2 linked regions of the Nothobranchius furzeri genome follow. The protein of the gene in region 1 interacts with the protein of each later gene in a pairwise test. Links are inferred from orthologs where the notes say so. Each region holds a gene or a part of one and is shown in the gene's direction. Other genes may lie near its edges.

Region 1 (4,867 bases):
GCTAACACCGTGTGTCTGGAGCCGGACAGTCTGTCCCTCAGTGGGGGGGTGGACCTGGAAGAAGGGGTTCAGTTTTCCATCTGGGTGTCCTTCTATGAGATCTACAACGAGTTCCTTTACGACCTGCTGGAAGCTTCGCCCTCCCAGCAACCCCGAAAGCGAGCGACGCTGCGTCTGAGTGACGACAAGCAGGGCAACCCCTACGTCAAAGGTAATTCAGACTCTTTGCTCCTCTAGTGCAACTGCTTTGGGGCTCTTCTTGGAGAATGGTTTCCATTGATTTCACTTTTATTTGGACACAATACTTGCTACTTTTATAATTTCCTTCTGCTACATCAGATCTGACCTGGATCCAAGTCCGCAGCGCCGAGGAAGCTTGGAGGATTCTGAAGGCTGGACGTCGTAGCCAGAGCTTCGCCAGCACCCACCTGAACCTAAACTCCAGCAGGAGGTGGGCAAACATTAAACTTTTGCTTTGGGAAAACATGTTTAGCAGAAAAGTTACAGATAATTGGCTCGTGATTGGAACTGGCCGGTATTCACGATGATCAGCTTAATGGGTGATTGGCAGATCTGAAGTAAAAAAAATGGCTTTATTATGTTTTGGTCCAGGATTACACCTTTGTGATGCAGCCATACAGACTTGGGAAGTTTCCTGGTGGGTGAACCCGCCATCACCGAGTGCTGAGTCGTGTTAACGATATTTCTAAAGTTGTTGATTTCAAACAGCTCTTTGAGACTAACCAGAATCAGAGTTAAGCTGCACAAAAATAGGAAATCGTTATCGGCCCTAGAAACCAGAATCGGTGCATCTCCGGTATTTAGTCGGACTTTTTGCGTTGCTCATTGTAAAATCATTTCTGATTTTAGCCACAGCGTCTTCTCAGTCCGTGTGCTGCATGTCCGCCCAGAGGCCGCTTCAGGTCAGGCCATGCACATCAGCGAGTAAGTTTACCCTTTATTACTGTAAACTTCACCTGTTTTACTGTAAAAAGTCCTGAAGCTAAGCTCCGTCTGCCCGGCAGACTGACTGTGTGTGATCTGGCCGGGTCTGAGCGCTGTAAGGAGCAGCGTAACGGTGAGCGGATGAAGGAGGCCAACAACATCAACACCTCCCTCCTGACACTGGGGCGCTGCATCGCTGCCTTAAGGCACAACCAGAACAAGTATGCTCCGAACCCGGATGGTTATGCAGTATAATAAAAAAATGCAGTTTCTAAAATCTCCTGGAACTTTTTTAACTCGTCTGCAGGTTGCGACCCCCTCAGGTGGTGCCCTTCAGGGACAGTAAACTGACCCGGGTTCTGCAGGGATTCTTCTGTGGCCGAGGGACCTCCTGCATGGTGGTCAACATTAATCCGTGTGCATCCATCTACGATGAGACCCTCCAGGCACTAAAGTTCTCTGCTATCGCTACCCAGGTAAAAACAAAACACTCCCACACGCCATTAACTTCTGAGTTCAGAGATGAGGCATGTTGTCATTTCAGCTCGTCCACGGCCCGTCCACAAAGACCAGAGTGGCCTACATCCTGTCGCTACTGTGCGAGCCGGCGGCTAACCGTGATGGAAGCACAGTGATGGAGGAAGAAGAGGAGGAAAGTGATGTTGAAGATGGAGATATCACGTTGTTGAATATGGAGGTGTGTTTGAGTTTGCAGACGCGGGATCTCGTAGTGCTTTGTGCACGTTTGGATAAATGCAAACATTCAAGATAAACATGAGTTCAAGGTGCATTTCCATCTACAGCGAGTTGTTCTAACACCCGGTTGTACGTTATTAAGACTCTGCTGCAGGTCATCGATGTGCTGAAGAGAGAAGTGCGCCGCCAGCGAGTGGAGAAGGAAGTCCTGGAGGCTAATGTGAGGGAGGAGGTGGTCTCGGAGGTGATGGTGGTCATGTCTGACATGCGGAAAGGATTCAAGTATGTGTGCTTGGTTTTGTTCTTGCTCTAATGTACGCAGAACCTGCCGTGGCATCATGTTTTAGATGCTTCTGAACTAAATAGTAAACACACAGCTGATCGTCAAGCGAGAAACAAGAGTGACCTGTTTGACATTAAGATGCTAGTCTGTCTTCTTGTCCTGAAGCGAGTCCTTGGAGGCTGAAAGGGCCATAATGGAGGAGAGATGTGAGGACAGGATAGCTAATCTGCAGAAACACCTGAAGATGTTCTACAGCCAGCAGCTTCAGGTGAGGGTTTGGACTTCTTTAAAGCTTTTGTAAGGTCTTCTCTCTAATCCTATCAAAGGTTTGAGGAGAACCTGCTTCCTGTGTTTCTGTAGGAGCGTGATGAAGAGATCAAGGAGTTATCCACTGCCCTTGAACAGGAAAAGAGGAAGCACGAGTCTGTGCCGTCCACGGCCTCTCCTGTGGACTCGGAAGGCCCTCGGCGCTCTCACCGCCTCATGTCTCAGGCCGAACCGAGGCTGCACGCCGAGCTCGATCAGTGTCGCGCTGAACTTGATCAGTGTCGCTCGCAGCTTTTCACAAAGACCCAAGGTCTGGCTGCATGATGCTTTGTGTTCTAGTGTTGGGATGCAGGTGTTAACAATCTCACTCTGCTCGCGTCTGCAGAGCTGACAAAGCTGAAGATGCAGCTAGAAGTTCCAGGTTCAGCTGGCGCCATCACCAGTGCTGCTGACCGCAAGCTGCAGGAGGGCCAGAGGGTCAGTACCATCTTAGGTCTTAACCCTACCCGTGACCCTCATCGCCTTCACGGACAACAAAAATGTCCTTTCCCTTCCAACAGAACCTGCAGAAGCTGCGTCTGGATTTGCAGAGGCTGGGAACCGATCTGCAATCTGGAGAACGAGCTTGTTGTCGTAACACCGGAGGGGAACGGCTGCGTCACACGCTAACGGCAGCAGACGAGACTCTGGCTAAGCAGGTACAACGTGTGAAAACCGAATAAGTTTGTTTCCATTTCTGTTCTGAAGCAGCGCTTTAGTCTCAACATGCAGAAAACCTGGTTAACTAGCCCGGTTCCCGCCTCTTCAGCTGTAGTTTTACTTTCATGCTGATTATAATGTCAGTTCTCATGTTGACCTATGCTCTCTCTCTCTCCCTCTGTCTGCTCTCCTAACACTCCTGCTGCACAGCCAGCTTTAAAACTACATTTAGGTTTCTAACGTCTTCACCAGGTGTTTGCTAAGCTAATCAAAGCATGTAGCATTTTTCCTCCCACTCTTTTCATCCTTCCACCCCCACGATCTCACCCTTCCTCCGCTGTGGTCTGGTCTAACCCTGTTCACTGACTCTTTCTCAGAACCAGATCCTGATGGAGCTCCAGAACAACCTGACTCTGGTCAAGGCAGACTTGAGGCGAAAAGCGGAGACTCTGGCGGGGTGTGCCCAGCTGCCCCCTACGAGCTTCGCCGCTCCCACCACACCTGGTTCCTGCAAAAAGAGAGGCGGCACAGCGACCACCCCAGCTGGAAGCGAAAACCACCCTCCACAGAAACGGCCTTTCTTCCAGTCTCTGTTCCCGCCTCGTAAATACAACACCCGCGTCGCCGAAGAAGCCTGCATGACCCCGTACACGCGGATCCTACGATCACGCCAGCCATCTCCTCCTCCCAGCCCTGTCCCGACCCCACGCTCTCTCAGGGGCAAATACTGAGCTCCTCAGTGAAAAGCCTTGCTGCTGCTTAACTCTATGGCATTGCTTTATATTTGAGACTATTTTTGCCGTGCAGTTTTTTATCCGTAATGCCAGTAACACGATCAACGCTTTAAGGCAGGAGTGTGAAAATCAGCCACCTGTCTGTGTTGCCTTCACTTGCATCAGCGATAAGTCAAACTAATTTGTGTGGTCACATTTAATCTGTTGCAGATTAAAGAAAGATTTGCATGTAACACAAACACAGCTACGGCGTCTATGGGCTGCTGCTGGAGATTAGTATGACTCCCTCTGTCTCTGGAAGCACTTTTATGTTTTATCCCAGTGATCCACTGCATGTCTGATTCTGTGGGGATTCTTTTGTTACTTCGGTTTGTTTTTCGGGACTAAATTAAACTTTTATTTCTTATTTGGGGGGGGGTGTGTCTGTGGAGTTTGACTGTAAAGAATTAGAAAGTGATTTGTAAATAATTTAGTCCTTTCTTTGTGCTGTCTGTCCTTTCCTTCATCTTTATTTCATTTGTATTAAAACATTTAAAGGGACAATGTAGTATTTTTTATTGTTAATTTCTGGAAGTATCCAAGATTTGAAAATGAATGAAATGACGCCCAGTTAAAATATTAGCGGCTTTGTAACGTATAACCATAAAAAAACGGTCTAAAATACATGGAAACGGGTCGAAGGCCCGATCTCAACACTTGCACTGCGCCCTGCAGCAAAGTGCACTTGGAGAACGTGCGCTGTAGAGTTCGAGTGTGTAGTACACAAGCGTGCAAATAATTGCAGAATTGAGACGGGGAGCAATGCATCAACTTCTGCACTTGAGAATCGGGACATCCTACGCACCCGCACCCCTGGCCGGGAACGCTCAATTCAAGGGTGCAAGAGGAAGTACTGGGATTGGGTCCAAGTCTCTGGGTGACGCAATATTATGGGTCATTCCCATCTGTACCGGGCCGGGTAGCGTAGGTTGTTTACATATCTGGGTGGCCTGGTATTTTTCCAGGCCAACCAAGGCTCATTCTCAGCCCTCTTCTCGAGGGGGTCTGCTTCAGGCCGACCAGGGCCAACACACCCACTGCTGACAGCAAATTCACACCTTCCATTAGAGTAAGCCTCTGATTGGTGTGTAGAATCAGCCCACATGGGCTTAAGACAAGGATGTGTGGAATCAAACGGGCCAGGCTAGGGCCGACCCGGTACAGATGGGAATGGCCCACTAGATGCCACATTTCCTTCTACGGG
Region 2 (5,541 bases), on another chromosome or scaffold:
AAAATGCAACGTAAACAAAATCAGCTGTATGTGTGTCTGTTTTACTTTGCTTTAGACTGCACACACAAATAATAGACTCACGTTTTCTTTTTTAGATTACGCTGCAGAAAGTTACAGGTAAAGCTGCCAACTCACACATCTTCAAGTTTTCAAGAATTTTATTATTTACAAAACAAGTGCAAAGGAAGTTGGTTTCTAAGACACAAGCGTGTCAGTTGTGTAAAAATGCACTCTTGTGTGTTTTCATTTGACATTAAAAGGCTAATGGGGTAAAAATAATTAAAGAGCAAGTCACTCCCTACCAGAGTATTACTCCACTCCCACTTCCTGTTTGAAAAATGCAACAAATGCTGTTGCCTAGCAGACCGAGAGGGTGGAGCCGCTAACAAATATACACAGGCTCACACCTGCATTGTGACATCATATAGGGTACCTCTTAGCCAATAGCGATGGCAGATTTAAATTCAAATGCAGTGCAGAGTTTTTACCTGACAACGGCACAACACTGACAGTTTTAGGCAGAAAATAAAAAGTTTAACTAAAGTGCTAAACTATTAACTACATGTCTGCATCACGATTAGACACGCATTAATATAGTTTATCAGAAGAAAAAAGGTAGATTTGGGGGTGACTTGCTCTTTAAATATTTGATCCAGTCTGGCAGAAGTCTTTGTAAACGGTTGGTGATCATCAAGCATGCTTAATTAATTTGTACCATTTTGCCTTTAATTATTACAATCCTAACCCTAACTTAAGTCCTGATTTTTACTTGGCTGCTCTGGGCGGCTGCATGTTGGAGTAGCTCTGTTGACTATATGTAAGTTTTGCCTTTTTTGGACATTTTTTCTTCTAGTTTCTCAAGAAAAACTGTATTTTTTGACACTTTACTTTTCTGTTTCTGGTGCTGTGAAGCTTGGAGGATTTTTACTGCAATTTTTTCACTTTTTGAGCATTTGTTATGATGCGTAACCATGGCAACAGGCTGGTTTACAATCGGGAGCAGCTGATTAACATTGGAAAGGTTGAAATAATACCTCAACTGAAGCCACAAATCCCACATGAGCTAAAACGCAAGAAGCGTGGGTGCAGAGCGGGAGCACAACGGAGACAGAGAAAGAGGAAATTCAAACCATCTCTTCCATCTATCATAATGGGCAATGATAAATCAGGTGCTGGTCAGCATCAGAAGCAGGGACCTGAAAAGGCTCAACAGCCTAATAACAAAGGCTGCTTCTGTTCTGGGGACGACTGTGGAACCGCTGGAGGAGATCATGCAAAGAAGGACTCTCCAGAGAATCAAGAACATGATGGACAACCCTGAGCATTCTCTTCACAAGACTGTCCGACAACGGAAGAGTGTCTTCAGTCAGAGGCTTCTTCAGTTTGGCTGCAACACTGACCGCTACTGGAGATCCTTCTTGCCAACAGCCATTGTAATATACAACACCTCTTTGATGACTTGATTATTATTATTATTCTGAGCTACTACAGCAATCAGTTTCCCTCTGGGATTAATAAAGTATTTTTGAATTGAATTGAAAACCAGAAGGCAGCCAAGAAGAGTTTATTAGAGGAACTAAGTTGCCTAGAGCAGTGTCCTGTGTGCTCTGGGCCTTCATTTGTCGCGTCAGGCCTCCTCTAAGGGCAAAGTGGTGTGCTGTGGGTAGACAGGCGTGGATCCAGGGCAGCATGAGGATACAGCATATAGCTGGTCTATTCTTAGCTCTGACAACATGGCTCTCACTAATTCAGTTCATATGTGAGGAAAGAGGGGGATTAGCATAGTTCTTCTGTCATTTCTGCGAGTATCGATGATATTATTTGCTAATGATTTTTTCTTTGAACATTAGTGTTGAGAGTTTAGAGGAAGAAACGGCTGATTACGTTAGGCCGAGCACAAAAGCCTTCCCTGGCTGGCACTAAAGTCCGGGAGGGTAGAAAGCACGTGTACTGGGTGGAGTTTAAAGTTATCCAACAGCCAATGGCGTTGAGGTGTTTTTGAATAAATCTGCATATCTTAAAGTGGATTATGGTCTCTGTGTGCTGATTGGTTAACCAGGATGCGAACTGCCAATCGCATTAACGATAAGAACCCAGCTGGCCGTTAAGTCCCGCCTACCGCGGAGTTGTCAGTAAACCCCGGAAACGATTCTTAAAGAGACAGGAGGCATATTTTTGCTCTAAACCACGAAAACAGCTGTGAACACACAAAAAAAGAAGACAGGCACGTTGAGGAAAGGACGTTATGTTCGTCTGTGTTTCAGGGCTGGGTGAGAGGACGAGACAGAAACGAACGGAACCATTCCCACGTCACATTTAGAGCTAATGCTTCGGTCTTCTGCCGTTAGCCACCTGGAAAAGCGACAACGTAGCACTCCTCACGACAGAGATAACAAAAAGGCCAAACTCCGAGACGACACGGACGCTCGGTTCTGAACGCCTGGACGTGTTTTTCCTGCCGAGGAGCGGGTCCTTCCGTGAGGTTAGTGACGCTAGAACCAGCATTTAGCCAAACTAGTTGTCTTTTAAACCGCATTCATACGTTGTGTGCGTAAGTGTGTCAGTAAGGAAACGAGACAAAATGATATTTACCTAGTAATTTAAAAGGCTTCAGGTGAAATACTTGCCCCGTAAGCGTGCATGGGATCAGTCATCATTTAAAAATGTGAATGAGATCAAACAATGCAGGAATTCATACTGAGACAGCTGATGGACTGACAGTAGGGTTACAGGGGGCGTTCCCCTGCTTTGTCTCACTTTTTATGTGTTTGCATGCAATCTGCAACGCTTAGAGACACAAAGTTAAAGAATAAGCCCAGTGTCCTGTTATGGTTTCATGTGCATCTGATAAGAAAATGCTGTATTTTCTTGCTCCTCCTCTGGTTGTCCATCTATGTTCAGAGAAAGAGATCAGCTAGAATGAGTGATGTATTATATGTGAGGTTATGACTGAGCATAAATCTTGGGCTAATGATCCCTGCAAAGCTCATAGGGGGGAGCATAGCATTGCAGTGGGTGTATTGTTCCCTTGGATTGCTCTTGGGAGTTGCATTGCTTCAGCAGTGATCATGCACTGATGTTTAACAGTTCTCACTGCAAAGGTGACATTTCTGTTGGCCTTAAACTGTGTTGTAAAAATGGAACACAGTGGCTTGGTGCTTGCACGTGCACATTATGCACACATGTTTGCAGTCTCACACTGCCTCACTCATAAAGCACTGGTGCACATGGAAATCCTGCAGCTGCTTGCTTCACACACACACACACACACACACACACACACACACACACACACACACACACACACACACACACACACACACACACACACACACAGTGTCCATATCTACATTGCAGCAGCACAGTACATGCATTGCTCCTTATGCCCACCCCCACCTCTCTCTGTCTGGGAGAAAGCAGTGGGCTTTGTCCTCAGCTGAGTGTGACGTCATGCAGATATTTGCTGTAACCAGCCCTGACGGCAGTGTACATGTTGTTCAAGAGACCTAGGTCTGGGCATGTCATATGTTCAAACACACTTGGTCTTAGGTTCCCCACCTCCCTGGGAAAGAAGGAAGCTCTCTCTAATGAATGCAGTATGGCCAGGTGAGACAGAGGAACTCAGTAGATCTGTTCATTTCAAAAGAGAAGATCAAACACTGCAAAGGTAAAAGTATGAAAGCAAAGGAACTTCAGGAAACCCCAGCCATGACTTCCTGGATTTCCTACTTCAACATGTAGAGTTCTGCGTCGTAGACCTGAGTTTTAATACATCTGTAGATAATTATCAAGGAAGAACACAGAGTTGTGCAAGAAAAGGGTTAAATGTGCATGCTTTCATTTTATCATAAGTAATCACCAGTGTCTAGTTCAGATAATGCATGTAAAGAGGTTTATAATAATACCACTGATTCTGCACCTACACTCAGTTTTATACATGGGCAGGTCATCTGATAAACCACGCTACCTAAAGGACACTGTTCATCCCGCTGTCCTCTGTGTGTCCAGCCTGTCTTTGTCCAAATCAAGTGAACATCCTATATTTCTTCTGGTTGTCTGATGTTATGGATGCAGTCCATGATGCTGGTTTTTACCTGCTGTATATGTGTGTATGCCTGTGCATGCCTGCGTGTGTGTGTGTGTGTGTGTGTGTGTGATTATTAAACACCGTGAGCTGTTGGGAGCTTTTTGTGAGTCATCCAATGTGCCCCTGCAGGATTTGATGTCAGAGATTACAGATGATTATGTAGGTTAGATCCAGTCCTCATCACAGCTCTGGGGTTGTATTGATTGTGTGTGTGTGTGTGTGTGTGTGTGTGTGTGTGTGTGTGTGTGTGTGTGTGTGTGTGTGTGTGTGTGTGTGTGTGTGTGTGTGTGTGTATACACACACACACACACACACACACTAGAACTTAATTCCCTGAAACTAAAAACAGGGAGAAATGCCTCTACAGGGGTTACGTTTGAAAGTAGAAAATTGTGCGTTTGTGAGGGCGGTGCTCAGTGGTTCACTCATCTCAGACAGCAAAGGCTGAGATGAAAGATCACTTTGGTGAAAAGCACAGGTAAGGAGAAGAACCTTTTTCACCTAGAAATCAAATATCCTCACACCTCGAGATGCCACGAATATTTTGATGGACCTTTTCTGCAACCGTTTTTCCAGATGAGATGGTGAAGACCTTATAGAAATGTTAAAATTCCCATTTTCTCACTTAAAGCAAATTTCTCTAAGCTTCTAGGCTCATAACTACATTTGCAGTAGTTTTTTTAACGTGTTATACTTGAATAACAAAAACATAGCCTGTGGCTTATTTATTGAACTTCAAATATAAAACAAACTCAAAACATTAAAAAAATAGTGTGTTGGGGTCCTTTGGGTCCTTTTTTCAGTCTAGTAGTGGGGGCAGTTGGCCACACGGGTGCCTGATTTTTAAACAATATATATTTTTATCGGCTTTTATAGATCATTTTAGCTGATGGCCGATATAGAAAAAATTGAATATGTGGGTCAGCCTCTGCTTACAACTCATTCATTCCTACTTTAGACCACTGCAAATGCATTGATTAAATGAGTGTTCCACACCTTTAAGAATCTAATCAGTTTGAACTGAAAACGAGACCCATGTTGACCCACGCTACTTTTATTCCCATACATGATTAGAATCGTCGGTAATTTCGTGGGGGTTAATTAACATGTTGAGCGTTTTCATTATAAGTGCTTTTAAGTAGTTCAAACTGATTTTGCAGCATTCACAGACATGATGTCAGTCATCAGGACTTTACACCATCGGGCCGAGAACATTCCCACAAAGACTGAAGGAAAACAAAAGGAAGAAAAGCGCATCAAGAAAGCTCTCCAAAACTGCAGATGCAGTCTGGAAAAGCATCCAAAGCAGCAACCAGAAAAGGAAAGGCTAACAGGCGCAAAGGCACCGTCATCACATACGTGGCAGGAGTCTCCGAGAAACTTAGAAGAGTCTTCTCCAAACGCAACATCCCGGTAAACTTTAAACCCAACAACACCCTCAGACAGAACCTGGT

The links.
Region 2: the proteins of kif20a (region 1) and atosb interact in binary tests that used the Homo sapiens proteins (3 or more experiments, as listed by UniProt). The two-hybrid records come from large-scale screens. The link is inferred for Nothobranchius furzeri from reciprocal best matches to the Homo sapiens genes KIF20A and ATOSB.

What each region holds. Positions count from the first base shown.
Region 1 is NC_091750.1:46,183,392-46,188,258, forward strand, and holds the end of kif20a (kinesin-like protein KIF20A), read left to right. Parts: coding exon 1-211; intron 212-339; coding exon 340-451; intron 452-870; coding exon 871-945; intron 946-1,025; coding exon 1,026-1,166; intron 1,167-1,252; coding exon 1,253-1,421; intron 1,422-1,489; coding exon 1,490-1,642; intron 1,643-1,783; coding exon 1,784-1,923; intron 1,924-2,089; coding exon 2,090-2,192; intron 2,193-2,284; coding exon 2,285-2,501; intron 2,502-2,576; coding exon 2,577-2,668; intron 2,669-2,751; coding exon 2,752-2,889; intron 2,890-3,267; coding exon 3,268-3,621; 3' UTR 3,622-4,167; downstream 4,168-4,867. UniProt on the Homo sapiens protein: Mitotic kinesin required for chromosome passenger complex (CPC)-mediated cytokinesis. Following phosphorylation by PLK1, involved in recruitment of PLK1 to the central spindle. Interacts with guanosine triphosphate (GTP)-bound forms of RAB6A and RAB6B.
Region 2 is NC_091757.1:57,317,452-57,322,992, forward strand, and holds the start of atosb (atos homolog protein B), read left to right. Parts: upstream 1-2,278; 5' UTR 2,279-2,482; intron 2,483-5,541. UniProt on the Homo sapiens protein: Transcription regulator that may syncronize transcriptional and translational programs.